Linked DNA regions of Tamandua tetradactyla. The protein of the gene in region 3 interacts with the protein of the main gene of each other region in a pairwise test. Links are inferred from orthologs where the notes say so. Each region holds a gene or a part of one and is shown on either strand. Other genes may lie near its edges.

Region 1 (7,934 bases), on a different chromosome or scaffold from region 3:
CAGACACCATATGGTTCAGCCAGTTCATTTTGCAGGTAGACCATCGATTCTTGCTTTCCAACTCTGAGTTTCATCAGGAAAGATAAACTGGACAAACAGGAGCACTTAACAGTGGACCTCATTGGTCTGGTCTGAGAATAAGAGATTCAACCTTCCAAATCTGAGGGGCGGGGGAGGCAGTAGGGAGGGAACATAGCTTTTATTGGGTGCAGTGCAGAGCCCTGTTTCATGTGCCAGAGGAAAAGACGGGGAAGGAGTCAGAGGAAACCCACTTGCTCTCACCAGACACATCTGGTACTCCAGGCGTTTTCGAGCTTCCTCACTGGGTTTCCGCTTTCGGAAGAAGAGTGGCATCCTTTCTGTTTCCCAGAAAAAAGGCCACAGACGAGATGTTAGGGCCTGGGGAAATTCACATAGCACCCCCAACTCCCAGGATGGGTAACACAGGAACACAGAGAACAGGTGTATGATGGGCTGGGCTGTGAGTTCTATGAGGAGGGGGTCTGTGTCTAGCTCATCCATCAATCTGTCTTCTGAGCCCAGACCAGCAGGTGTTCAGTACTCTGTTGCCTAAACAACAGGCAGTAGGCTGAGGGGAAAAGGAGCACCACCACAGCAGCCAGGTGAACTGGGGTCTGGTCCACATCTGCCACTGACCCACCATGAGACTGTGGGCACACCCTTTCCCTGTTCTGGGCCTCATTTCTCCTTCATTTTCGATGAGGGTGTTGACCTGGATACATTTTCTCAGGTCCTTTCCAGGGATGACTTCTAAGGACGCTAACACACTTGACTGATAATCACTTCTGAGCCACTGGGGAGTAGGGAGGTTAGAGCTGGTCATTAAGGAGGTTTGGGAGAGGTGTGTTTGTGACCACTCCCCATCCCTAAAGGTACCCTGATACATCAGAGGGGTATCAGCAGAACTAACCAGAGTCAGCCATGACCTTGGGGAGCTCTCCAAAGAGAATCCTGAATTAAAATAAAAATTAAAAAGCTACCCTTAGATAACTTATCAGTCTCATAGTTATTATTCCATTAGATTTTCACCAGAGCACTATTTATAGGTAAAGAAACTGAGGCTCATGGACTTCATTTGGTTATATAGCCTAGATTGCAGCAAAACCAACTAGAACCCTGGCCTTTTGAGCTCTAACCCTGTAGAGTTTGCCCAAATATTGGTGCTCAAATAACACAGCACACACTAATACACTGTCCTGAAATCAGAAGCAAGCAGCTCACTGCCTGCCTAAGGCTTGCACAGTATTCTGCAGATGTCAGTGCTCAATAAAGGATAGTGCTGGGCCAGCAAACCATCATCAGGGTAGCTTATGATTAACAGCACAGACTCTAGGATGAAATATAACTGGATTTGAATCCCAATTCTGCCACACACACACACCCCCCCCACTATATCACCTTAGTTCACACCCTCTGAACCTCAGTTTCTTCCTTTGTAAATTGAGAGCAGTAATGTTACCAATACTGGGAGCTTTGAGGATTCACTGATTTCCTAAATATGAAGCACAGTACTTGGCACATAGTGAATGCTCAGTAATTGGTAACCACACAGCACCACACATCTAACAAACACTTACTCAGGGTCTACAGTTTAAGGGGCTAGGGAGAAAAGGCAGGTAATGCATCTGAAAAAGATGTGTAATTCATTCTCACAGGGAGGGGTAGAGATCACAGTTCTCCACCCATACGGGCATGGGCTGTCTGGAAAGGCAGACAGGCTTGCAGAGCCGGCTCACGCCCCCGTCGTCACCCCAGGGTACCCGTAGGGATGGGGAATTGCTGCAAAATCCTCTCCCCAAACCTCCCCAACGACCAGCTTTAACCGCCCTACTCCCTGATGACTTACCCCCTCACCTCCTCTCCAACTTCTCCCCAGTGCCTACCCCTCTCCAAAAATCAACTCTTCCCAACCTGCAACCCCAGGTCCAGCTGTTCCCCAACCCCTTCCCGGCGTCTAGCCCAGAGAGGTAGGACCACACCCATCCTTCCCGGCTAGGGAGATGGGGGCGGGGACTGTGCCGAACCTGGCTTTGGGATGGAGAAGTCCGGTGGTCCGACCTTCGGTAGACCCGAAGCCAGGCCGATCAATCGGAGAGAATGGTCATGGACACGGAGCCGCAGCCCACTGGGTATAGGCCCCGGCAGAGCAGGAGTCCGGTCACCTCCAAACGCAAGACCTGGGGACGGAAACTCACAATCTGGGGAAGTCGTGAAGATCAGAATGACGAAGTCTGAGACTCCTGAGAACGGCGGGCTCTCAGAATTTAAGAGTTGGACCAGATTTAGACCGAATAAAATTATCTTGATAACTAAAATGCACACATATAACGATAGGATTAGGAGAGGGCTCTGGGTAACGCTGGTCCTGCAGTCCGGGTACGGGGGCGCGAACCCCTTAGGAAAGGGGCGAGGCTCTGGGATTGGAGGACAGGAACCCGGGGATGACCCTCGCGGAAAGGGAGAATGGGGAACAAGGAGGCTTGGGATTCCTGGAGCGGCTCTTCTGGTCTGCCTCTCTCACTGGCGACCTTCCCCGAACCCCTCTCCCAGTCCCTAGCCACAGCTCAGCTCACCGCGGTGCCTGGCTCTCCAGCTGTCAGCCTCAGGCGCCTGCCCACAAGCAATATGGCAGCCAGGGCATCGCTGGGAAGATGAGCAGTACGACTGTTCTCGCGAGAGTTGCGTTTTTCCGCCTATATTTGGCGTGCTCGGGTTGATTTCCGGCCTTTTGGCTCGGAGGAGGCCAGGGTGCAACTTTCTTCGGTCGTCCCGCATCCGGGTTCATCCGACACCAGCTGCCTCCACCATGCCGCCCAAGTTCGACCCCAACGAAATCAAAGTCGGTGCGTGTTCTAGATGTGGCCGGGGCTGCGGGGTGGAGCATCCCTCTTCACCACAGCCCGTCGGGCCTGCGGCCTTTGCCGTGTTTGCCTTTTCCATGTCGGGCTCTATAGCCGTCGCCTCCTAGAGGCCTATCGGGAGCCTCCGTTTCTGCGCTCAGAGCGCTGTGCTGTCCTGCCGAGTCTCTTACCCTTTCTGGGTCTCAGCTCCCCCATAAATGGGGAGGGAGGACCGGACGACCTGAGACGGGTTTGCAGCCCGCACATCTTAGGGTAAGGTTTGTCTTCGGGCTCTTCTGCTCTCCTGGACTGGGTTCACTGGAGGCCGGGGGTTCCCTCATGCCGGCCCAGTTCGGGGCTCAGCCGGGGTAGCTGAACCAAGGCCGCTGCCCCACGTGGCGCCCGATTTTTCTGCCCACGCTCAAGGTGTAACGCGCGGCTCGCCGGGGCGGGGGTGGGGCTTGCCTCAGTCCGGACCGACACGCTTGTGCTGTTTGGAGAAGCGGCGAAGGGTGATGGCAACAGCCCCCGGGAAGATGCAGTCGGGGGATATCTTTGCATGGGCCCTAATTCTTTATTTCTCCCAGTGTACCTTAGGTGCACCGGTGGGGAAGTCGGTGCCACGTCTGCCCTGGCCCCCAAGATCGGTCCCCTCGGTCTGGTAAGTCGTTTTCTGGGGGAGGATTAAGGTCTCGTGCCGGCATCATTTGGTTCGTTTGTTGGCTCCTGACCAGACCCCTGAAGAATGGGTGCTAGTACCAGAAAGGGTATGTTTGAACGTCCAGGCCGCTACCTTGAAGTTGGTAATTTACTTTACACGTGTGTACAACTGCTGCGGGCTGAGGGATGTGAGGGAAGTCAGAAGTGAGTTTTGGAGTCAGGAGTGCTTCGTGACAGCACTGTTAGGACAGTTGGGTGTAGATCCTGGTGAATATGGTGGCTTGTATTTCCACTTTTGTTTACTGTTGTAAACCTCGTGGTTAATAAGATTGGCTTTACCTGTGCTCTATTGATCACAAGCCTCATCTGGCTGTTGCCCCCTCCATTTGAAACTCTGCTTGTACTGGATTTACATTTCCCTGAATATGTTTAGGCCTTTATTTTTTGGATAGTGTTCTTCCTCCCCAAATAGCCCTATCTTGCTTAGCCCAGTGTATTAGCTCTTGGTCCCGCCAACATCCCTTCTCTTTAGGCTGTGTGGTCACTGGAATTTTTTAAAGTAGCAAATGCCCAGATACCCCTAAACGCAGACTGACTTGATTGGTTTAATAGGAGAACTGGTGGTTCTAATGTAACCATGGTTGAAAACCCCTCCTTTACCACATGGATTCTTATGAGAAGGTAAAGGGCTCCACTGTGAGCCTGAGCCTTTCTAGATTAAGGTTGTGTACAAGCTTAACCTCCAGTGACTGTAATGTGGGGATAATTTGCCTTGATTGGGTTGGTAAGATGGTTCAAATGTAGCTTCCTGTGTGCTGGATAAAGATTTGGGGTGTTGCCAAGTGAGAAATACTGGCTAGGTATTAAGGTTGAACATCAGGCCCAGTGTGATAACGTACCTTTATTTCAACAGTCTCCTAAAAAGGTTGGTGATGACATTGCCAAGGCAACTGGTGACTGGAAAGGTCTAAGGATTACGGTGAAACTGACAATTCAGAACAGACAGGCCCAGGTATTTACTTGTACTTGGTTTTGGGGAGGGAGAGAGGGAGCAGTCTTATGGGGTCCTGATTTTTGCTGACCCAGGCACTTGTCATCAGTGGTGAACTGAGAGCAGCCCTGTCCCTAGCCATAAGAGGCAGCTGCTGTGGTGGTGGTGAATTAAAACTCAGGCTCACACATGGCAGGAGTGAAGTGATGGAAAAACCATACCCTATAATTACAAGTAAAAGGATAACAATCTTTGTGGGAAGACCTTTTCAAGAGCATGGGCCTTAGAGCAAAGACCAAGGTTTCAATATTAATTTTTGTTATTGTGTAACCATAGGAGGCAATCAGGATGACTCCAACTGTGAAGGCTCCATGGTTGGTCTGTAGTCTGGCAGTCATTGGAGGTGGGGTGGGACTTAAGTAGAGAATCTTCTTATGCAGATTGAGGTGGTACCTTCTGCCTCTGCCCTGATCATCAAAGCCCTTAAGGAACCACCCAGAGACAGGAAGAAGCAGAAAAACAGTGAGTTGCCTTTTCCCCTGTATTCTTTTTAGTTGTGTTTTGTGATTGTTGTGTATCCAGTGACAACAGGTCTTCTGCCCACCCCCTCCCACCCACCCATGCCCCGTGAAACCCTGGGTGGTCATGGGAATTGGGTGATTTGGTGTAGGCTTTCACAGCCAGGCACACCAGCATAGTGTCATGTTGCTTTCCCAGCCCCTGATCCAGGTAGAGTAGGTCATACTCCATGAAGCTTCCACGAAAGAGGGAAACCTCAGGCCTGAGCATCATTGCCTGGTCTGGGCAATTAGTTGTGGGGTGAGGCAATTGAGAATATTTAGTCAGGAGACTTTCCCAGCTGGGTGACATTGAACAGTTTAACCCCAGTAACTTGAGCCTGTTTTTTCTGGACTCTAGAAGAGAAATAAAGTCTCTTCCATGTCAGATTAGCAAAGACTTGATTTTGCCCTTAGCCACCCGCCACTGCACCTGACCAGTTCTCTGTTGGCTGGTGCAATCCAGTGGTGAGCTGATACTAAATCCCAGCTTAGGAAACAGGGTTGTTCTTCATGTGGATGACTCTGTGCCGAAAGCATGGGAACAGCCTGGACATAATATGGTTTTCTCTTTGAGTTGTGATAAAGCTTCTGGTGTGTTTATTTTCTACAGTTAAGCACAGTGGAAATATCACTTTTGATGAAATTGTCAACATTGCCCGACAGATGCGGCACCGATCTTTAGCTAGAGAACTCTCTGGTAAGAGGACAATTCTTTTGTTCAAAAGTGAGGTGTGGTGCCTTATTAGGTTTGAAAGGATGGCTTTTAAGATCATGGCTGGATGTGTTTAATTAGGTAGCTCAAGGGGCTTATGTAACTAGATGGAAACAAGAGCTTTAGGATTAGAGATGTCATTCCTGGTACCCACAAAGACTATTTGTCCTTCTGCTTACTGCAGAACGAAGTATGTTCCTTAGGACTGTGGAACTGAGAACTCCTCTTAATAGCAGCTTTTCTCAATTTTTACAGGAACCATTAAAGAGATCCTGGGGACTGCCCAGTCAGTGGGTTGCAATGTGGATGGCCGCCACCCTCATGACATCATAGATGATATCAACAGTGGTGCTGTGGAATGCCCATCTGTAAGTGACATCAGTTTCATTTGGTCAAAATGGGGGTTGAAAGCCCTTGGTGCAGGGTAGGGGCTAACGTTCATGGATGGAAGTTGGAAAGTTCTACAGGTGTGGGGGATACTTTTTGTATTATTACTGATAGGGTTGTTTTTTTTTTCTTTCCTGCAGAGTTAAGAACTTCAAAGGAAAATATTTCAATAAAAGATCATTTGGCAGCCAATAGACTTGCTTATTTGATGTATCTTTCTTGGGGGAAGTTAGCTTCTTTGGGGGTGGTTGATGGGCCAGGTGGCAGAACCTGTGGAGGAGTGACAATCTGAGCAGTGAGCTCTGCAGGTAACAAATTCTGCCTGCTTAGAAGATGAGAAAGTATACATAGAAAAAGGAAGCTAGTGCTTCTTGTTTAATTTCAGTATTTATGGAGCTCTTTAATTAGGGGACAAAAGGAAAACCTGTATTTCAACCATAAACATGTAGGGAACCTCTCCCTCCCAGGCACTAGAATCTGTGGGTAGGTTGGAGGAAATGGTTAATGCCTTGTTAACCCATTCTAAGCTTTGGCCTGGTTCAGAACCAATGTTGTAACCATAGTCAGTCACCCCAGGTGGTCTAGTAGGCAGATAGGGTTGAGACTTATGGAAAGGTCTGCCTGAGAACTGGGTTAAGATTTGGGGGAATAAGCATCCCAGCAACCAGCCTCTTTTATAGCACAAGACCAATAAATGTGGAGAGCATCTCTGAAACCAGGGAAGCATGGACATTGCTGATGGGGAGTTCACCAGACGGTGGGTCTCCAAGTCAGTGTACAGAAGGAAGCCTGCCAGTGATAAAATTCTGAATTTCCTGAAGTGCATGACAAGAATGGTGCAGTTAACATCCACTCACCTTATTATAGGTCTCGTTCTTGGGCTTTCTTAGCCCTCCCTGCTTTATCCTCAGCTTTGCTCTGTTTTTTCTTAGAAGGGTAACAAATCCTAGACCTAGTCTAACAATTCACAAAGTAGGGATTCAGCAGTGCTTTCCTGGGTGGCAGCTGTATCTTGATTTCCCCCCTTTGAGATAAGATAATCTAATAGCCCTAGAATCTCCACTTGCATTTTCTTGGTAGTAGAAACTCAGCCTTCTGGAACAGCCCTCGATATTAAAAGGAAAGTTTTACAAATGTTGCCTAAATACTGGTCTTTATATAGGAACTTCTCTTACTGTTTTCTGGAGTGCTTGCTACATCAAAAGCATTCTTTAACCCATTCAGTCTGAAAAAAGGTAAATCTGTAAAGTTGGATGAAATTTCAGCTGGGTTGTTAGATTCCCTAAATTCTTTGATGCTCACTGAATGCCATATGCAATATGTAAAATGACTAAGCATTTATTAAAGGTTTTTTTTTGCATGTGGCTTGGGCTAGACTATAAAGTTAGATGTCCTCAGGTGTTGCTCTCAAATCATCTGCATTTATCAGGTCCCCTGGCATATTGATTTACTGAGATGTCTGAGGTTTTCTCTCCTTTTTATTATGTTCATAATCAGTCTCCACTGTGGAGTCTCTGATGTCTAATGAAGGCTGAACTACACCTGAAGGCCTTCCCACAATCACTACATTCATAGGGTTTGATACCAGTGTGAATTCTTTGATGCTGACTAAGGGATGAACTCTGATTAAATGCTTTTCCACACTCATTACACTCATAGGGTTTTTCTCCAGTGTGAATTATATGATGGCGAATGAGAGCTGAGCTCTCACTGAAGAATTTGCCACACTCGTTACATTTATATGGCTTCTCCCCAGTGTGTGT
Region 2 (7,377 bases), on a different chromosome or scaffold from region 3:
TTCATAAATAAAATCCTTTTTTACTTTTTTTAAAGTTTTACTTTTGGAAATTACAGCCTTTTTTCCCTTTAGTATTTTTTTTCCATATCCTCAACTTCAACTGGTTCTTTTTAAATTCTAATCTCTAATTTAAATACATTGTAATGATAAAAATTTTAAAAACTAAAAGTAAATGTTTTCAAAATAGAAAAAATATGAATGCTCATTTTAATCTAATTTTAAGCTTATAAATCTATTTTTGGTGTTTTCTTTCTCATTTGCAATTACCTCAGAGTCAACAGCAATGACTTACTGGGCCAGAAATAGCATCCATTCAGTTAATGCTTTTGATTAATTGGTTTATTTCCTTTGGAATTGAGACAAAAGCCCTTAAATGGTGAGTGCTTGTGACCCACTCATGCACACATATACCTCTGATTTATGACAGCCTTACAGTATGACACCCAGTACAGTAGACTGGGAGCCTCATGACCCTTTTCTTACTTCAACCTTGGCAGTTTGCCACTCAGAACCCCTAACTGCTCTCTTCAGCTCTTCTCTAAGATTCCTAAAAATGCTCTGAAGAAAGACTTTAAAAACAGACATGTAGCAGCTCTCTGATAAGTGACACGGTTCATCTCCATTATAGATTTGAGAGCAGAGAACATGCGAGAGGAACAAGAGACAAAAAAAAGTCATATTCTAATAAGATAGTCACAAGTTTGTCAATTCCTAGATAATATATACTTGTTGTCATATTAGAGCATCAAACAAATTCATGATAGTATCAAAGCATATTTTCAAATTTACATTTGTATATTCACAAAATTACCACAGTGGAAAGCTAGCATAACTTTCAAAGAACTACATAAGTGTTCCTTACAATCTTCATAATTTTTAAAATCTGCAATATTTGGGGAGCACAAAGATGCTAGAAATGAAGATAGAGTACTATGTAAAGATATGTATAATGAAAATATGATAGCAAGTTTCATAATCAACATTCAATAATAATAAAAGTTTTGACCATGAAAAATGTAATTAAAGATCATTGAATTAGATGAAAAAAGAGTGCAAAAGAGTGAGATCCTCGAAAGTATAAGACATGACAAAAAGTTCTACATAGTGATTAAAACAGATTAGGTGGGTCTGTATTTACCCTGACCACCCTAATTAATATTGCAACTTTCCTGACACTCCTTATCCCCTTTAACCTGCTCTCCGTTTCCCCCCCCCAAATATTTATCTTTTAATATGCTACGTAACTCATTACATTTTTATTAAATGTCTTCTCTCCCCTGCTATAAAACATGTGTATGAGACCAAGTCTCTGTTTATTCAACTGGTATAGTTTATGCACCTAGAGCAGGCCTGGCAATAGATGTTCAATTAATTATGTTAAAAGACTGGAAATATATCCAGGATATAATATTGACTGAAAAAATTTTCAAAACATTATATCTCATTTTTATGTCAAATTGTATTCATTTATCTACATAGGTACATAGGCACAGATGTCTGGAGGGATGTTCAGTCAAACGGTAAAAATGATCATCTTTAGGTGGTAGGATTTGGGGACAATTTTATTTTTTTTCCCTTGTACTTTTCTAAAATGTATGACTGTGTTTTTATAATAAGCATGTTTTATCTTTGGAAAATATATTTTAAAAATTAAACAAAATCTAAACCTATTTCTTTTTCATCCTTAATTTCCATCAAAACCTTTTAAATCTATTTCTAAGTAATTCATTCAAAAATTTATTCACAAATGTATTTTCAAAATAAAGACAAAATAAAGTAACAGCCATTTAATTGTAAAGTAGACAAATGGAACCCATCCCTTGAGACTAACAAAAATTTGCAGAGAATTTCAAAACAATTACCTTGGAAACCACTTGGCATGTTCCACCCATGGATCATCTCCAGATTCCCAGCACCTCAGTCCACCATCGCAGCAAAAACACTTAACATCATCACTGTGTCCTAAAATTAATTTGGAGGAGAACTTACAAGCACATATAGCTTGCCCACTAAAATTTATAAGCTAAAATGTATTGAACATTTTTATTATTATCAGATTAAGTTTCTTACCCATATAATAAAAACCAGCACTTGCAAGCTGCTCAGGATGGACTAGGACATTAGATGGCCAGTTCAAGAATGTTTTAAAACGGGCTGCATGTGTCTGCATGCTCAAATTAGAAACTGTGTGTCTCAAAGTTTCTCGAAGCTGATTTTCTAAAAACGGACAGCTTGGGAAATGTCTCAGATGTTCTGCCATAGCATCATCCTTTGGTTCCCAGTTGCTCAGTTTTCCACCACAGGCAAAGCAAGCCACTCTGTCTCCAGGTCCTATATAGTAAAAGCCTGCTTTTGCCAGGTCTGCTGGTGACAGAAAGCTCAATGGCCACATCTGGTAAGTAAGTAATCTCGCTTTTTCGGTATGCATTGCCCAACTGTAAGAGCTTTGTCTTGAGGCAAGAAAATCTTGATTTGCTCTGAAATTTACAGGATTTGATGGAAAGCTTGAATAAGAGCCACTGAAATATCCACTGTTTTCCAAACTTGGTAGTAATGAATGTATAGAATTTACTGAAGGAGGGAAAGACTGTGAGGTGGCTCCCAGGCTGTTAACTGAACATAGTTTCTGAATAAAGCTACAGCTAGGATACAAGTTTTTATGCTTTTCAATAGCATTGTCTCCTTTTTTCCAGTTATCCAGCATCAGGCCACAGCAGAAGCATTTGACCTTGTCATTCACACCAGTGTAATAAAAACCAGCACGAGCAAGGCTCCTTTCTGAGATAGGAACGCCCGTGGGGAAAGTCGAATATGTAGACATTCGGTACAATTCACATGAAAAGTCATATTTCAGTTCAAACGTGTTGGCACTTTTCATCAAATTTGATAAGAATGTGCTTTTTTCTACTATGTTCATGGTGAATTGGATGGGGAGGAAAAGGGACTAGCCTTTCTCTGGGGAGGTAGTTTTGTGCATGGCTTTTGATTTTGTTAGTTTCAGTACAAGGTTGAATGCCTAGAATGTGAAATCATTCTTTTTCTTCTATAAATTTAGAGTTTCAGCATGGCAAGATTCTAAATCCTATACTTATACTTTAAAGGGACATATACTTTAAAGGGACAATTATGCACAACTGTTCCTTTGTATAATCTTTATATATACATATACACATGTAAACATGATGCTACATGGTAGCTTGTGATGGAAATTAAAAACCCTTTGTTGAAGGGGGAGTGTTTTAGGTCATCAGAATACCAATATCAATATCAAGCATCTCATAGGCAGGTCAACTTTTCAGGCCACTAAAGTGCTTCAGGGGCATTCAGCCAACCTAAAGATAAAATATCTGACTCATGTAGCTAGCTTCTTTTCATGGTGGAAAGCTATGCTCCACAAGTGTTCTACAACAAAAATGTTGAAGTTATGTTTATTTTAGTTTTTGTAGACTGTTAAACTTGGTAGCCAGAAAAAAAGCCTAAGACTTACCTCAAAAGAATACATTACCATATTTCATCACTTCTAAAACATGTTTTAATATCCCCGTTATTGAGAGGCTTCTTACAATTAATGGTATATTCATATTTTAATTCCCATTATTTCTTAGAGGCACATAAAATAATAGTGTATCTGAAAGTGACAGCTTAGATAATTAGATACTTTCTCCTCCCTCAATTCTTTTAATAGGGAAAATTAAAGTTTAAAACTAAAATAAACTAAAAATTAAAACTACTTCATATATAAGGAACTTGACTCCTTAGTCCTCATGATACCATTAGGTCTTGGTAAAGTAAAAATTCTATTTAAAAAAATCATCAGAAATGAATGTATTTTGCTCAATTAGTCTTTTGGATCCAACTTCATGCTGTTAAGGCAAGTCAGCTGTTTTTGTTTTTCATTCTAATGGTACACTTGATTAAAACTGACAGTTTTTCTTATAATCATATAGACAACAGGTGGTGCAAATGGAGATTCTGCCACAAACTATCAATATATGCAATTTAAATTGAATCTTAAATTCAGATTATTTTGGAAAAACGGAATCATGATATAATGTTCCCTTGGTTAGAAAAATCATTTTATCACGTTGCTTAAGATAATTAAATATGGCTTTAAAATAATGAGACTTTTAAAGATTTTTAATTGTTGTCCCTCTCAAAGAACTAACTTTGTAGAGTTATTCCCTTACATCACCTGCTCAAACCACACATTGCACAATGTCTACCATGTACATTTTTGAACTTTGCTTTTCTAAATGTCTAATTTTTCTAATTTGCTAACATCAAATATTCTACTCTGATAACGAATTTATTTTTAAAGCAGTCAAAAGTCATAGAATGTGTAGTCTTTAGGCTAAAATGGATAATCAAATTGCGCAGATTTGGTTTTGACTAGAAATTACTTCACAGAAACTTGGTTAGATATTAGTTCACAGATAGTAAACTTTGACCCAGAATATGTCATTACAAAAATTAATAAATTTACTTTACCACAATCCCCTTCTTCTGAACAGCTGAGCCCTTTTCAAAATTCAGAATTTCTCGGTTATGCCTAACTAGCCGTTAGTAAACAGGTAGTCTACGGTAATACCAGCAATAACCAATAAACTGTTTGCTTTTCCACCAGTGATTTGCCAGCATGGTTTCCTGGCTGTCACAGATGTTGAGGTTTTCTACTGCAGACTTCAATGCTTTGTGTCCAGATAGCAAGAGAAACATTATCTCATTACCAGTTGTGATTCCCAGGAGGAATCATTGTGTCTAACTTCATTATTTCTTCAGTTAGTCAAACATTTTACATTGTGCTAAAATACCCCTGTATTCATCATTGTCTTTGTGTAAACTTTCTTTCTGGTTAAGTTTGTTCCCTTACCAAAATTTAACCACCCAGACATTGTTCTCATTCTCATCATTCTCAGCAATTTAAACAAACAGAATTTTAGACTTTCAATATTATCAGTGCTCATGTGATTGAGTAATTTCTTCAACTATCATGTTTATCTTTCCAGCTTTCTCTAAATTTTTATACCTCTCAAAAAATTTTGTACTTGACATTCTTTGCCATCATAGAAATCTTTTAACCTGTCAGAGGCCTTATTTGCATATTTGTCTAATTTAACAGAGGGTTTAATATTAACTCTTTGTTCTAGATAATGGCCGCTCATTTTTAAATCTTTACCAAATACAGGTGCTTTTTTTCTATTACACAGTGCAGCCAGTGGAAGACTGCTTACCCAAATTTTAAATGAATGCTTTAATAATATGCTCCAGCTACAATCACTTCTCCTTTACTTCCACAAATCAAATACAAAATCAAATTCATTACTTTATAGTTATACTTCATATAAATAACTCATTTAAAAAATTACATTCTTTGTAAACCAAATTAAGTCAACTACTTAAGTTTTTTTCATTCATGCACAAAACTACCTCCCGGAGATTAGACTAAGTCCCTTTTATGGGTTTTAGGCCTCCATTTTGAGATATTCTTAATTATAGAAGAAATTGAAAACAATCTAGTAGTAGAACAGTTCTCCTCTCTGGTAAAACCTGTTAAAAAAACAAAAGTTTTAAAAGTCAGTCCATGAAATATGACACAATGATTTTTTTAAAAAAACATTTTCTTCAAAATAGAGCACTAGTATTTACTGATTGTCTATGAAGTACAAGGTACTGTTCTAAGAACTATAGGTGAGAAGAAATCCCAGACAAAGACACAAGGTCTCTAATTGGTGGCCAGTAGAGATATGTTCACTTTGCACAGAAATGGACAACAGTATGTTACTAATTTTTAACTATTTTGAAACTACTTTAGACCTGGAGAAAACTTGATGCAGAGTTCCTGCATAGCTTATAACCAGCTTCCCCAAAGTTAAGGTTACATAAACTACCATCTAGAAACACTAGTTAGCTAATATTTATACAATGCTGTTAATTAGTCTATTGTGCTTTATTTGAATTTCACCAGTTTTCCAAATACATTTTTTAATGTTTTAATTTTTAAAAGTAATAAGTTACCCATAAAATTCTAGATTTCAAGCTTCTTTTGAAAAATCAGAAGGTCTGGCAACACTGGACCAAATTCCTGCATGATGCCAATTGGCTAGAATTGAGTAGTGGCTAGACCCCTCAGACAGACCATTCTCCAGTTTCTCACTGTATTTTGACCACCTAATATTTAGGCTATCAGTTGCCATTTATTACTGGACTGGCACTATTATTTTTCTTATACAGAATTGAGAGAGAGGTGAAATTGTTCTAATACCCGTGTTTATGAAGAGTCACAAAAACGAATGCTAGACCATGAGAGACACAGGTTTTGACAAAAATAAGAGAGAACCACATCTTTATGGAAATGGAGACAATCCCTTCAGGTTAACTACATAAACAAAGTATGATTCTGTTTAAAAGAGAAACACACAGTTTTGTGCATATCACCTGTCTGGCCTCTTATGCATTTGAGTATGCAAACCCTTTACATAGCTCTTACCCTAAAGAAGATTTGGTGTGGAAACAAAGCATGTATTTGTAAAAATGGTAGGCAGCAAATATACAATAAATATACCAAAAATGTGTCAAGATGCCAACCCTCGATCAATTCAACCTTCTGTCTTAACCATTTCTAACACCTAGGCTTCCAAGTCAGCTGGTGAACAGCCACACCCTGCAGAATGGGACTCCCCCTGGGCTGGCCCTTCATCATCCTTCAGCAATTCTACTTTGCCCTAATCAGCTCCCTAGCCCATAAGAGTTGCCTTATGCCACTCTTCTAAACCATCAGCCCGTTCTTCAAATGTCTCTACACTCCCCCTCACCTTCAACTGATTGCTTTGCCTTCTGTTTCTCAAAGAAACATCTTTGAGCAGTGTCCTTTCACAATGTCATATCCATGTCTTTCTAGCTCACAGTATACTTGCTGCCTCAGACTCTTGTTCCATTATGGGATCCTGTCTTCTCTCACTCCTCAGAAATATTGCTCTTAACCCCATCTCCCTCATGTCTTCAACTCATTCTCTACTATCTCTCTTCTCACAGCATGACAATCATGCATAAGTCTGTTTCAGCTTTAAAATGAAAACAAACAAAAATTTCCTCTGTGAACCCCACTTTCCACTCTAGCCACGATCTGGTATGTAACCTTCCTTTCATAGCCAAAAGCAAACTGAACCAAACTGTTGTTAAGGTGTCCACTTTTCCCCCCTCCTATTTATTCTTTAAGCCACTACAATTTGCTTTAGCCAGCACCATTTGAAACTGTATTAATGACACCAGTTAATTGTTTGCCAAATCAACGGAAATTTTTGCATCTGACACTGGGACCCACTTCTTCTTAGAAATGATCTCCTCCCTTGGCTTCTCTAATACCAGTCTCAGAATTCC
Region 3 (7,459 bases):
ACAGTATTTACACTCTACATATGAGCACATTTCTACTTCAGCTATATAAATGTGATGTAAAAATACACGGATTGTCAGTTATCATCTAGAACAGTTATTTTTTGGAGCATTCCATTCCAAAAGCAATGAAATCAGACAGTCTTGGTTCAAATTACAGCTCCACAAACTTACTGTAACTCTAAACAAGTTACTTAAACCCTCCATGCGGGTTTCCACATTTGTAAAATAGGCTAATACTAATAGCCACATGAAAGGATTGATGGTAGGATTTAATAAATTAATTACTACCTGTAACATGCTTGGACTGATGCCTCATAAACAGTAAGTGATCAATAAAATATATTTATTATTTACTTTAATAAAAAATTGTATGACCAACCTCACTTAAAGAATAGTCAGGGAGGGCCATGGTGGCTCAGCAGGCAGAATTCTTGCCTGCCACGCTGGAGACCCCAGTTCGTTCCCAGTGCCTGCCCACACACACAAAAAGAAACAGTTGCCATACCGGGCATTCTGGTGATTATGATTCACAGACTAAGTTTGAATTTAATGACCCTAGTCATTAAATAAGGCATTATTCATCACATTTATTTCAGGACTACACCATGCACTTTCTCTCTCCCTTCCAGCATTTACACCTGTTATTCCCAAAACTTACTCTTCCTCATCTTGACCTAGACAACTCCTACTCTTCAAGTTAAAAGAGAAAAAGAAAAAAAAAAAAAAGTTATATCCCCAACAAATACCTTTCCTTCATCCTTATCCCCAAGACAACATTCCTGCATTACTCTGCACTTCCTTTCTCATAATGCAACACCTCACTATAATTTGTTTCACAACTATATTTCCCATTAAGACTATGAACTCCACTTAGATGGATGTGTTGGTTTGAAAGTGTTGTATACCCCAGAAAAGCCATGTCCTTTAATCGTGACCCAATATTGGAATGGAAACCCTTGATTAGGTTGTTTCAGTGGCAGACTGACCCATTCAATTGTGGGTGTGGTCTTTGATTAGATTACTTCTGTGGAGATGTGGCCACCCAAATGTAAGGGTGGACTTTTGATTAGTTGGAGAAGTGACTCCAGCCATTCAAGCTGAGTCTTGATTAGTTTGCTAATGTCCTTTAAAAGGGGAAACATTTTGGAGAAACCTCAGATAAGACAGTTGCTTCAGAGGCTACAGAGACACAGACATTAGGAGATGCCTGGAGTGCCAACAGAGAGAGCAGATGCCTAGACATGGACTAGTATGGAGATACAGAGTCCAGCAGATGTCACAATGTGCCTTCCTATGAGATGCTAAGCAAGCCAGGACGCAGAGCTGTGGCCCAGAAGAGTTAAGTGAAGGCCCACAGATGCTTAGGGGAAACCACTGACATCAGAAGCTGAAGCAGTGGAACTGGAACAAGGATCTGCCTTTCCATGTGGCAGACATGGCCTTCCTTGAGTCAAGGTATCTTTATCTGGATGCCTTAGTTAGTAGATTTTTAGGGACTTAGAACTGTAATCTTGAAATTTAACAAATTCCCTTTTAAAAAGCCATTCCATTTCAGGTACACTGCACTCCAGCAGTACAAACAAATACAATGGGATACTGATCTTAGTCACCTGGCTTAGTGCTGGATATATACATGATGCACTCAATACATGTGCTTTTAGCTGAACTGAAACACATTTTATGTACGGATAACAAAAGAGCAGACAACTCTCCCAATATCTAAGAAAACTAAAATTTAGCCTCAGACTCTTACACTTATAAAGCCATCTTTACCACGGCCCTAGTATTAGACTGGAAGGTGAGGCAGGGGAGGGCAAGTAGTAAAAAATCCCTATCATCCTTAAGAGTCACAAAAAACATAGCAATTTACTGAAATAACATTGTTGTCACTGTGCTGGTTTGAAAGGATGTATGTCCCCTAGAAAACACGTTTTAATCAAAATCCCATTTCGTAAAGGCAGAATAATCCTTATTCAATACTGTATGTTTGAATCTGTAATCAGATCAGCTCCTTGGAGATGTGATTTAATCAAGAGTGGTTGTTAAGCTGGATTAGGTGACATGTCTCCACCCACATGGGTGGGTTCTGAGAAGTTTCTGGAGTCCTATAAAAGAAGAATCATTTTGTAGAATAAGAGATTCAGAGAGAGCAAAGCAGAACAACACAGCCATGAGAAGCAGAGTCCACCAGCCAGAGACCTTTGGAAATGAAGAAGGAAAATGCCTCCCAGGGGGCTTCATGAAACAGGAAGCCAGGAGAAACTAGCAGATGATGCTGTGTTCACCACGTGCCCTTCCAGATGAGAGAGGAACCCTGACCGTGTTCACCATGTGCCTTTCCAGATGGGAGAGAAACTCTGTGTTTGCCATGTGCCCTTCCACTTGAGAGAGAAACTGAACTTCATCAGCCTTCTTGAACCAAGGTATCTCTCCCTGGATGCCTTAGATTGGACATTTCTATAGACTTGTTTTAATTGGGATATTTTCTCGGCCTTAGAATTGTAAACTAGTAACTTACTAAATTCCCCTTTATAAAAGCCATTCCATTTCTAGTATATTGCATTCTGGCAACTAGCAAACTAGAACATTGTTGTTGTTTATCCATTCATCTGTTGATTGACACTTGGGCTGTTCCCCCCTTTGACTACTGTGAATAATGCTGCTATGAACACTGGTGTATAAGAATCTGCTTAGGGTATATACCTAAGGGTAGAAATGCCAGATCATAATGTAATTCTGTATTTACCTTTTTGAGGAACCACGAAACTGTTTTTCCACAGGAGTTACACCATTTTACTTCATCACTAGCGATGAATGAAAGTACCAAGTTCTCCATACTCTTACCAATACTTGTTATTTTCTGGAAAGATTTTTCATAATTTTATTAAGACACTGATTATCAAAGTGTGGTAAATAGGCCAGGAGCATGAATATTATCTGGGAACTTATGAGAAACTTTTATGTCCCACCCCAGATCAACTGACTCAAACTCTGGTGGGGTTCAGCAATCCATACTTTTTTTGTTTAACTTTTTTTTTTTAATTAAGAAGTTGTAGGTTACAGAAATATCAGGCAGAAAAAAAAACAAGTTTTTATATTCTCCCCCACGCAGTTTTCCCTATTAACATTTTACATTAATGTGATACCTATGTAACAATGATGAAAAACAATACTGTTATAATTATACTATTAACTATAGTCCATAGTTTACATTAGAATTCACACAGTTTACATTAGAGTTGTGTGGTAATATTCTATGTTTTTTTTAATTTTTATAATAATAACATATATACAACCTAAAATTTCCCGATTTACCCATGCAAATATGTAATCTAGTAGTGTTAATTAAATTCACAATGTTGTCCTACCATTACCACCATCTATTACCAAAACTATTTCATCACCCAAACCAATTAATCATTTAATTCCCAATCCTCATTCCCACCCAGGGTCCTAGTTTCTGGCTCTATGAATATGCTTATTCTATTCTTTGATATCTCACTGGTGGTCTCTTAGAGTCACAAAAAAGCAACACTGAAATAACACTTTCTTAAGCATAAACTATAAGGAAATTTAAGAAAGTTGTGAAGAAATAAAAACCACCTAAAGTCACATGGCACAACGATTATGTTTTATGTTATACAGTATTACTGTATAACAGGCTTAACAAGCCTTCTATCCCTAGGTCATAAGGACTATGTAAATACAAAACAATTTGTCCAAAACAGACCAAACTCCTGATACAGACTTGAATGTAGTAGCATGTAGACTAAAGGAGTTCAAAAATATGAAGATGAAAAAGCCAAGTATAAAAAAAAAGCACAATGTGATATGTCAACGCTAGATTATGAAAAGAATGTCTAAAAGTACTTTAAATTACAGCCATATCCCAATTATTTAGAAGCATCTGAGCTACAAGTCAATTCATGAATTATAAAAATTATTATGCCTAAATACCCTTACGGGATTTTAGAATAGCTTCATCCAGGATCTTAACAAATAACAATGACCCAAATGGTCACTGGAAGTAGTTCTTGGAAGAACGGATAATAAGAATTCTTTCTGTTGACTCTCTGAGGGCCACTGCTAATTATTCAATTATTCAAACCATGCAATAAGTTTCTGCCACCAGAAACGATACGGCAAAAATTCTCAATCCCCGGGATGAACATGATCCTACATCCTATTCAATCCACAAATTAAAGATAACTGTATTTAATACTTCGCCCAAAAAAAATCTCCATTTGGGAAGCATCTTTTAAAGTTGCTGAGTTTTTAATTGAACCTAGTTGGTCAAACACTACTCCTTGCAAATAAAATTTCAACTCTAATTATCAGTCCAACTCAATTTAATCTTTCATACAAAATAAGAATTATTAATAAATTACTATATACATATTATGCCAAATTTATTTTGTTTTAGAAAGTAATACTGTATAACATAAAGCAATTATTAATTAAGTACCTATACCAGAACTGTGATAACTATAATTGTAATGTCCAAAGCCTGATGACTGCTGTAGTAGTTGGGTTCAGGTGTCAACTTGGCCAGGCGGTGGTGCCCAGTTGTTTCGTGGCTGTGGACATAAATCAGCAGCCTGTGAAATTCATCTATGATTCATCACATCTGCAAAGGCAAAGAGGAAGTGCCTTCTGCAATGAATGATGTTTAATTCAGTTAGCTGGGAGCTTGAGAGGTCAGAAGAGAAGGAGCTCAACACAATCCAGCACAATCCAGCTGAGAGTTCAAATCCAGACATTTGGAGATGCAGAAAGGAACTGTACTGTGGAAAGCCATTTGAACCCAGAAGCTCAGAGAGAAGGCCAGCAGATGTCACTGTGTGCCTGCCCCCATGTTACACAGAGAGTCAGAGGAAAGCCAGCTACCTTTCCTCTGTAAATTTGTAACTAAATAAATCACCTTTATAAAAACCAGTCCATTTCTGGTGTGCTGCATTCCAGCAGCATTAACAAACAGTTGCTCTCTTCCTTTCCCTGTTTATCTTTCTATAGAGCATTTATATACATAATCCATGATAAGAGATTTAAATGTAAGTTCAGAATCTAAACCTTGAATATATAGTGTAACCTGTTTTCTTTTTAAATCCATTATGCACAGGTAAACTACAAGGTATGGGGGATGGAGTGGGGGGAGAAAATGTACTGATTAGCAAGGCAGAAATCCTGACCTTGTAACTTATTGGCCTACAGATTTCACTAAGAGAAAGAAAAAGAAGGAAAAGTCCTCCAATGTAAAAAATTCTATGATTGTAATAAGCGTGGTCACAAGTATGGAAAAACTCACAACTTCAGCAAAGCAAACACATAACATTTCTGATGTTATTGTCATTCATACACTACTAGATCTATGGGAGTATTTGATGAACTGACAAAATTCAGTTTCAACTGTGTGGGAATCAATCAACTGGGGCTGTAAGGAAGATCCTTTAACAGTGCTTGACCCAGAGAAGCTTAAAATATACTCAATTGACTATTTCTAACTAAATTTTATTATGCTCATATATTTCATAATCAAAACATTAGGTATTACATTAAATAGCATCTTTATAGCCTGAAACTTCAATCCCTATCAAAAGTAGTTCAGGGATTCTTAACCTGGAGCCCATGGAGCCCTAGGAGATCCAAAAATAAGCTTGGCAAAAACCTGAATCGCCAGAAATCATATTGGAAAAAAGAAACATGGTTTGGGTGGTGCAACAGTGGCTCAGCGGCAGAATTCTCGTCTGCCATGCTTGAAACCCAGGTTCAATTCCCAGAGCCTGCCCACGCCAAAAAAAACCCCACATGGTTTATTTTCCTGGGAAGGAGGTCCAGATCTTTCAAAAAATGTTTAAATGGGTACCACCACCCCCCCACACACACACACAAAGTTAAGAACCACTATCTATTCAAATTTTACTATAATAGTTTATCTGTTTCCAAAGAAGAACTTTAATTACAATTTATAAGTTAAGTCTCTCTTCAACACAGTAAGTTCTTCATATCCCTTAATGGGAAAAAATACATATATCAATCAAAGATTTTCAGGGCTTCAAAAAAGTGTCAGCTTTCTGAATCACTTTTCTTACTATAGTATCTTACACACTAGACTACAGATCAAATGAGTGACTTGTAAATGTGATAGAAAAAAGTGATGTCTATATGTTTAAAAGTCATAATTACTAAAGTGTAAACAGAACTCAGGTCTCAATGAAAATTAGATCATATCAGATTTTTAAGAATTTGAAACTGAACCACACTAAACAAAAAAAAAAAAGTAAATTTTAGGGTGGACAATAGTAGCTCAGTGGGAGAATTCTCACCTGCCATGCTGGAGACCCAGGTTCTATTCCCCAAGTCTGCCCATGCCAAAAAAAAAAACCAAATTTTAGGAAAGACTGGCAAAATGCTAGTATTTACAGACTGGCTAGCTAAGTTTTAATCAAATGAATTTACTCCTTGAGTAAGTTAACTACTGTTTCCTAAGGCTATATTTTACAGTTTTCCTGATTATTCTTATGAAGGGGAGAGGAAAAGGCCTAATTGTTGTAAATGCACTAATTCTCTGGAAGGATACATAAAAAACAGGTAATAGTGGTTGCATGGGAAGGGGAACTAGAATGTTGAGGGACATATGAGGGAAACTTACTTTTTTCTCTATACACCCCTTAGAATTCTTCAAATATTCTGCTGTATGTATGTTATGTTCTAATTAACAAAACAAGGAATTGATTTTTTTACCAAACTTATAGGTAGAATAAAAGACTAATTTTTCAAATATTGCTTTAAGTTCAGACATTGGTATCAACTCCAACTGTCTACTAAACAGTACCAACATCAAGTTATTATATAGCATATCAACTCTTCTAAAACTTTTTTCCAAAGAGATTAAAACTCATCCATCATTCAATTAATAAATATTTCAGTGCCTACTATGTGCCAAGAATTGTTCCAGACATTAAGAGAAATGCCCAAGACCCCTGAAAGTCCCTGCCTTTATGGAGCTTCAGTGGTGAAGAAATAGGTAACTTCTGAGTAATGATAAAAAGTGTTATAAAGAAAAGTGTTACATACGGAGATAAAGAGAAACTATGGGGTGCAGGGAGGCAGAGGTATTGGGGGAGGGATTGCTGTGTTTTAGACAGGGCAGTCAAGGTAGACCTGAGCATCTTACATGTAAGCCAAGAAATGAATGAAATGACAAAGCAATCAGTGCAATAAAGAGGAGAAAGGCCCTGTGACATAAACAAGCTTAGCTATTTATTACTGTTCAGGGAACAGCAAACAAACGGTAAGCTGCAGTAGAGTGCATCAAGGAGAGAAGTGCAGGAGGTGCACTCACAGGTAGGAAGATCCCAGATTTACCTGACGCTTTGTAGTCAGGATTAAAAAGAGCCAAGGTTTTACTCTAAATGTAATGGGGAACTTTTGTAGAGTTCTGAGCAGGTAGTGCCATGAT
Region 4 (7,314 bases), on a different chromosome or scaffold from region 3:
ACTGAGTTATGCCTAAGAAAGATGTACAAGTACACAGAAGTATTACCAGCCAGTGAATACTATTTTTATAAAAATAACGTCTGTCTTAAGTGTTAACAAATTATCAAGAACTATTATTGTTTCTGATACCTGAACAAGCCAAATGCCATCTTTTGTGTCTTCTACAAGCTCATAGAAGTGCATTTCACCACTGAAATTGGTACTAGAAACGGATTCAGATGCTTCTTCTTCCTTGAGAGCAGAATAGAGCTCACCCTCCATCAAGTCACCTGAAGAAAGGCAAAAATAACACAAATTATTAGATTTCAGACAGGTAAAATATACAAAAATCCCACTTTCCCAACTTCAACAATTAATTCCATACTTTACTGATTAGAATAGTGCCAATGTATTCTATAGGAAAGAATAGCAGAACCTAAATACATCCATGTAAGATTTATATATACTATAAATATATAAGAAGAAGTTATAAAGTGTCAGGCAAAAGTAGGAAAAAAAAACACATAAAAATCTATCTCTTCGTTGAGCTTACATTCTAGTGGGCTCATCATACTTTAATTGGGAAATTACTGAATTTGTACCAGTCCAAAAAAAATCAGAAATTAAAACTTTAGTTTTGAATATAACATGTCCTGGCTTCAAATAATTTTTAAACAGTATAATTCATGTACTTCTGACTTAAAAGATTGAGAATTCGGTTTACACAGAATTTGCCATCAGCAGAGCTTAAAATATTAAGAGGGCTTATATGACTTGGAGGTTAGAACTTTCTTAGAACAAACTTCGTATCTACACACAAATTTATACTATAAATTTAGAGCTTGTATCATCAAGCAAAGAGGAAAGGTAAGCAGTAATGTTAAATTTTCTAACTTCTGCCTTAAACACAATGAGAAATCAAGCACAGTATCATCAGAGCAAATTCATTTACAATGAACACTTAAGTTTACAGTTATCGTGCCAACCAACTCTTCTCTGCTATAAAATGTGTGATCTGAGTCCTATTTTGGGGATCTGTGGGTACTCTTTAGATTATATGCAGAACCCCTGTATATTCAAAAGTGACAAGTACTTTTAGCCTCCCCCAGAGAGCAACATTAAGTAAAATAATTAAAAGTCAAAAATTTTAAAATGTTAATTAAAAGTCAAAATTTAAAAAATGTGTGGTCAAATGATTTTACCATGAAAAATGGTTTGGCTTTGGAAGTTGAAGACATCTGTAAAGCTAGAGAGTTTATTTATTATAGATCTTTTACCTTAGTTGCTCCATTTATTTTCCCTGTGGTAGAAATAAAAGTCACCACAGACCAGTCAGTAAACAAGGTACAAGAATAATATACCATCCTATATTTTCTCTAAAGAACAAATTATCACTTTTGTAGAAAAGGTTCCCCGACTCCGTCCCAGTAAGACGAGTTTCATAATCCTGAACATACAGATATGCGAGTGTTGAGCTCCTCTGGAGTTACACTCTTACAACTCTAACTGGTTATAAATAAGGGAAAGAATTATCTTGTAAAAGACACAGAGTGGACAAATATACTTGAAACAACAAAAAAGATAACCATCAGTTTCAAGTGCTTGCTACAGCAAGGCAGAGCATCCTTCTCAAATTACAGCATGCTCCCCTTCCAGGAAGCATATCTAAACATATACTTTGTCTAGGAGGAAAAAAATTAACCTTATTTCTCACCCAACCCTACCCAACCAACAGTTATTGAAAATGTGTCCCTTAAGAGATTATATATTATATCAGAGATAATTCAACTCTATTCCCCAACCCATTTAAGTTGGTGCAGCAGTGCCTGTAACATAGAAGGAAAAAAAAAATTTACTTCCAAGAATCAAAAAATATGTTTTTAATCCTGACGGAGATATCAAAACAAAGCAAAACAACAGAGACTAGCATTTACACAAAATGCTCACCTTATTTCCACCAAAGCATGAAAAGCTATTGCTGGACTGGGTACACCGTATCTTTGTCTGCCCTCACTACAGGAAATGTAAGTATTATTTTTACCTATACTACCTTAGGCCTCTTTGATATTAAGTACTCCAGTGACATTTTCCCCTCTGGGTAGGGTGCAATTACTATGGGAGCAAATCTATGCAACGTTTTGGCGTTTTCCTCTTCCCATCCATCCACTGGACTCAGAACAGTTTGCAACTGGGTGATACTCCTGAATTTTGAGAAAATCACACAAGTAAACAACGCTAAGAAGCCGCACTTTATCCTGTTCCTTAAAAAAAATAACCTGAAAAAATACACACGAACACCCATGCCAACAAGGCTTCCTGATTTCGGAAACCCTCCAGGGCACCAGCCGCCCTAGGACACGCAGGACATGCGGGGTACGGGGATTCAAGGGTGCCGGGATGCGGGAGTGTCAGGGAGAGGGTCTGAGAGTAGGGGTGTGGGGGTGGTGGAGTGGTAGGGCTCCAGACGTCGAGGTGTAGGGGCGTGGGGATGTTGGGGTTTCTGGAGAGTCGGGATCTCGGGGTGTGGGAGTGCCAGGTGTCAGGATCATGGGGTGTACTGGGTCGGGATCCCTGGGGGTCGGGGTCCCGGGGTGTGGGGGTGCCGGGTTGGAGGCCTGGGGCCCGGGGGTGGCAGGGTCCTGGGGTGTGGGAGTGCCCAGCCGCCCCGCGCCACTACTCGCCTGACTTCTGCACCAGCGCCCGCACGTCCTTCTTCTCGGGCAGCCCCGAATAGCCCAGCCCCCGGCACTCCAGAATGGTCCTCAGCTTCCGGAAACTCAGCGCCACAGGGTCCACCAGCTGCGTGGCGAACAGGCCCGTCTCGTACCACACGACGGCCTCGAACACTCTGGCCAGTACGAAGAGCACCAGGAAGTAGAGCAGCAGGAAAAAGAGCTTCAGCCACATCTTCCTGGCGTCTCCCCGCTCCCCAGGGAGACCCGGGCGCGGCCCGCGGCACAGGAGCCGGCAGCGGGTGCTGCCGCGCGGGGAGCGGCGGGGAAGGGGCGCGGCTGTGCGGCGCTGGGCCTTCAGTCAGGGGGCGCGGGCCGCAGGGCGCAGAGGGTCAGAGGGCCCCATGCGCTCGACCAGGCCGGGATCGCTGGGCGCGGCAAGGCGTCCGCGGGGAGGCGGTTGGGGCGAGGGGCCCGGCTCCCGCGGCGGCGGCGGCGGCTCAGGAAGGACGCAGTGCTCGGCCCCGCTCCCAGGCCCCGCCAGCCGCCCCGGTTCCTCGAGAAGCGCGGCAGGCACGGTGGCGGCCGCTCCGGGGCGCCTGGGTAGCTCAGGCGGGAGGGCGCCGCGATCCCGCGGGGGAGGGGACGGCGCGGCCTCGGCGGATTGGGGTCAGGCGCGCGGGGCGACAGCGCCGACGGAGGCACGCACAAGCAGGCCCCGCTCCGTCCCACGCGGCCGGTTCTCTGGCTATCTCCGGGCCACGCAGCGCCCGCCACCCCCGCCGTGTTCCCAGGCCGCAGCCGCGGTCCCCCGAGCAGTGGCTCAGCCGCGGCGGCGGCGGCGGCCGGAGGAGACATAACAACTGACGTCGGCGGGGGGCGGGGCCGCGTGCCGGGGGCGGGGCCGGAGGCGGAGCCGCCAGGGCGGGGCGGGGCGGCACCTAGAAGGGGCTCCCTCTGGTGCTGGGGCAGAGGAAATGGGGGTGGGATGGGGAATCTGGCTTGTGTGGGGGTGTCTGACTTGGCTGTTAGGAGCTGGGGGGAATGGGGGTTTGGTTTGCTTTCCCACAACTTCAAAAGTTGCTGCTCCATTGTCTTTTCCACTTTCTTCCCTTTTTCCCTGTAGGTGTTTAGTAATTGATTTTTTCTGAGGATTGGAATTTGGACTGTGTCACACTGTGTATTTTGTGTGTGTGTAAAAACAGCAGTTAATTATCCCTTTAAAGTAGGTGAAAACAGAAGTGAGTTGTTTATGCTGAATCCTCGTGAAATGGGAAAATTGGGGCACATTTAGTGTGAGATGGTAGAAGGTGAAACTCAGAAACTAGATGTTTCTACATCTAACTCAGAATATAGCTTGTGTGTGTGTGTTGCAGGAGGTTGGCTGAAAGGCAAGTTAGGTCTGGGCCCAGTTGCCCTATTTGTCATCTTATAACCCTCACCTCCACTCACTCCAGCCTCGGGAGTCTTAAAGGCCAGGTATAATAGCTCTGAGTTTCTAGGGCAAAGGTTGTTGAGCATTGATATGCGCAAAATTACGTGTGTTTTCTTTCCTTATCCATCCTGAGTGTGGGCTCCACCACCAAAAGAACTTATATAAAATGAGTAATATGGACAGGCATGTAGTGCTTGGTTCTGTATGTGTTTAACCCAATAGAACATATTCTTTATGCCAACCTCTGTGCCCATTTCGAGAGAAGGGAGAGTTGGGTGTGTAAGCTGCACAAGGTGGGTTTTTACCAGCCCTCCAGATCATGAAGGGAAAACTCTGGAATTACCAGAGAAAAGTTAGCTATTGTGCAAAACTGTCAACTATCCTAAGTAGGGGTGAACATTTTAGGGAGAAGGTGTGATTCTCAATCTTGGAGGAAATAAGGAAAGAAAGGACCTCAGAATGGCATACCTTTAGAATAAAGCCACAGAGACATGTCCGCAAGCCTTAGGAGGGGTAGGCAGGGGAAAGAATCAGAGGAGGAGGTGTAGGAATGTACAACCAGCTCTTGGCCCCTGCTTCTGTGTTTTAACTAGCCCCAATGTGGCTTTGTTTCCAGAGCTGACAGATCAACGTGGGTGGCTGTATTCAAATTTCAATCCTTGGGCATGTCACAGTGACCATGCCACTGGACAAGATGGCTGTCGAAACCCTGACTTATATCCCTCACCTCAAAGGTATGTTCTGGCCCTTGGGGAGAGACTGACCCAAACTCTAATAGTATCAGGGCGGGGAGAGGGGAAGGGATGGCGGGCATGACCTGAGGATGGAACCAGCTGGTCCCAGACTTCCAAATTGGAAAAAATTAACGTGGGAGGGACTAAAAGGAAGGGAATAAAGAACTTTTGTGTTTCTTGTAATGCCTCCTGTCTCAAATCCCCAACCTTGTTCCTCTCATGGTTTAATTCTTAAGAAATATAAAAGCACTGGTAAAAGTGGTAGGACTAAATATGAAATCACTAAATATGAATTTCACGTCTGAAATACAGCCTTTCAAGACGTGGTTTGCACTGTGAGCAGAAGCCCCTCTGACATATGTGCTCTTTGGCACGTGATCCTTCTTTCGGGAACTTATCCTAAGGATATGATTGGACATATCCTTATGGACATATGTACAAGCTGTATTACACAGTTTTGTTGCTGTAAATGTAATAATTACAATAGAAAAACGAATCCAAATATCTAGCCTTGGAGTATTGGACAAATACAGTAATGCAAATGATGGACTGTTATGCAGGCACTAAAAAGAAAGATGTAGATATATGGTTATAGACATAGAATCATGTCCAAAAAATAGTGTTTGGTAAAAAATGCAAGTTCCTGAGAAGTTTGCATGATATGATCCTATTTTTGTTTTTCTACTAGCCAAAAATCAGTGATGTACACAGTAAAATGTTATCTGTATTTATCACTAGGTGAAAGGATTTGGAAGATTTATTTTTTCCTTTTGGGCTTTGTCTCTATTATTTTTCTGAAACAATTATGCATCACTCATGTAATTTTAAAATGTGTTAAAAAATAATAATGAAACATCCACCAAGGCTGCTTTCCCATTCTTGCGTTCTAGCAGCAGGGGTCCGTCTTCTGGGATTTCAAGGGTGTCTGGGATTGGGGGCGTGGGCTGTTCTCCCCTGAGAGTGATTTCAGCCTTCACTTATGCCTCCCTGGGCAGATTCATTAGAATTGTTATTCAAACACCAGGCTGACAAAAGAACCTTTGAATTATTTATCGATTTTCATAATCTGTTTTCTTTAAAGCTAGGCTATTAATCTGGGTTCTTGGTTTTATATCTCAGATTCTGTTCATTTGTGGCTTAAATTCCTTAACATATGCTATTGAAGCAAGAGCATGCAACAGTAATTGAAGAGCCTGGTCTAGCGTGAACTAGTACTAGCTGCGTGACCTTGTTGGAACTCACTAGAGCTCTCTGAACTTCATTTTTATCATCTATGAAATGAGATAGTATGTATGCCCCGGGAGCCTGTTGCAAGGATTAAACAAGAAAGTAAATGTGTAAAGTACTTCAGAACAGACCTGTTGCTTGTATTTAACTTAAAATGAAAAATTAAGTTTAGGGAAAAAGAAAGTAAACATCTTTGGCTGATCTTGACGAAACAGGACAATTTTATTTAGGGTTCAAAGAGAACTTTCTTTTTATTTTATTTTTATCAAAGTATAACACTTGCGTACTTTAAAAAATCAAATAACACTTGACAGCTTCATCCAAACTTGGGCAATTTTAAAAGTCAAAGAGACAACCATAGTAAAATTATACCAATCTGTCGAGGATAAACTGGGACTGTCCCCAAACCAATTCTACTTATCATTGAAAACATGTCCCCGGCTGAACCCTCCCCACCCCCAACTGCCATCCCTCAAAGGCAACAGCCTTCAATTCTTTTAAGCATTTTTCTCATTTTCACCTTTATACTTCCAGAGAATAAGTTTCTACAGCTTTACCCAATTGCTATTCCTCAAAGGCAACGGCCTTCAATTCTTTTAAGCATTTTTCTCATTTTCACCTTTATACTTCCAAAGAATAAGTTTCTACAGCTTTTCTGGGCTTTTCCATTTTATAGATCATCCATTGACTTCTTGTGGAAGATGAAGAATTATCTCTTTTACACCCTCCTTTCACATAGCACTTCCTTCCCCACATTCCAAACATGAGTATATTAATATCCCTTTTTATATTAATGCAATCATATAAATCTTGTTCATGGCTGAACCATATCATTTGTATTTCCTTTCATGTGCAATTGTTCATTTTCCTTGGAGTTAATAATTAACTCAAATTTTGGTTTCTTATTCCCTGTGTACTTTCTCATCCCCGAATTCTCTGTCTAAAGTATAAAGCTACTCAAAACAGCTGCTATCAGTTCCCTTTTGTCTTTTTTCCTCCTGCTCTGGATGGACTTATTACTTGCCAAACTGACTGCACAGCTGCCATCCTGGAACTTCCTTTCACGTCTCTTTTATGTGGGCTCCCTGTTTTCTGGATCCCATGTTTGCACTTCGTCCATTCACTTCCTTGTTTGCATGCAAACAGTGGCTTCTAAGAAAGTGGGCATAGGATATAAATTTTGGAGACCTTATGTGTATTAAAACACTCTTATCTTTTTTGTTTTGCTTTGTTTTTTGTTTTTCAGGCTTAGAGAAATCTGCACGAA

The links.
Region 1: the proteins of ubiquitin-conjugating enzyme E2 N (region 3) and LRSAM1 interact in binary tests that used the Homo sapiens proteins (3 or more experiments, as listed by UniProt). The link is inferred for Tamandua tetradactyla from reciprocal best matches to the Homo sapiens genes UBE2N and LRSAM1.
Region 2: the proteins of ubiquitin-conjugating enzyme E2 N (region 3) and baculoviral IAP repeat-containing protein 3-like interact in a two-hybrid assay, tested with the Homo sapiens proteins (2 studies listed by BioGRID and IntAct). The link is inferred for Tamandua tetradactyla from reciprocal best matches to the Homo sapiens genes UBE2N and BIRC3.
Region 4: the proteins of ubiquitin-conjugating enzyme E2 N (region 3) and RNF103 interact in a two-hybrid assay, tested with the Homo sapiens proteins (3 studies listed by BioGRID and IntAct). The link is inferred for Tamandua tetradactyla from reciprocal best matches to the Homo sapiens genes UBE2N and RNF103.

What each region holds. Positions count from the first base shown.
Region 1 is NC_135328.1:50,259,195-50,267,128, reverse strand, and holds the start of LRSAM1 (E3 ubiquitin-protein ligase LRSAM1), read right to left. Parts: upstream 3,275-7,934; 5' UTR 2,865-3,274; coding exon of another isoform or gene 2,828-2,864; 5' UTR 2,797-2,827; coding exon 2,595-2,796; intron 2,220-2,594; coding exon 2,046-2,219; intron 360-2,045; coding exon 283-359; exon of another isoform or gene 273-282; intron 1-272. Other genes in the region: RPL12 (large ribosomal subunit protein uL11), read left to right, coding at 2,828-2,864, 3,449-3,522, 4,435-4,533, 4,953-5,034, 5,683-5,769, 6,040-6,152, 6,312-6,317; ZNF79 (zinc finger protein 79), read right to left, coding at 7,665-7,934.
Region 2 is NC_135334.1:40,516,821-40,524,197, forward strand, and holds the start of baculoviral IAP repeat-containing protein 3-like, read right to left. Parts: upstream 3,101-7,377; 5' UTR 2,918-3,100; coding exon 2,071-2,917; intron 1,963-2,070; coding exon 1,863-1,962; intron 1,522-1,862; exon of another isoform or gene 1,480-1,521; intron 1-1,479. UniProt on the Homo sapiens protein: Multi-functional protein which regulates not only caspases and apoptosis, but also modulates inflammatory signaling and immunity, mitogenic kinase signaling and cell proliferation, as well as cell invasion and metastasis.
Region 3 is NC_135333.1:162,831,270-162,838,728, forward strand, and holds the start of ubiquitin-conjugating enzyme E2 N, read right to left. Parts: upstream 3,200-7,459; 5' UTR 2,837-3,199; coding exon 2,747-2,836; intron 1-2,746. UniProt on the Homo sapiens protein: The UBE2V1-UBE2N and UBE2V2-UBE2N heterodimers catalyze the synthesis of non-canonical 'Lys-63'-linked polyubiquitin chains. This type of polyubiquitination does not lead to protein degradation by the proteasome.
Region 4 is NC_135343.1:60,476,616-60,483,929, reverse strand, and holds the start of RNF103 (E3 ubiquitin-protein ligase RNF103), read right to left. Parts: upstream 3,247-7,314; 5' UTR 2,887-3,246; coding exon 2,661-2,886; intron 2,181-2,660; exon of another isoform or gene 1,927-2,180; intron 270-1,926; coding exon 130-269; intron 1-129. UniProt on the Homo sapiens protein: Acts as an E2-dependent E3 ubiquitin-protein ligase, probably involved in the ER-associated protein degradation pathway.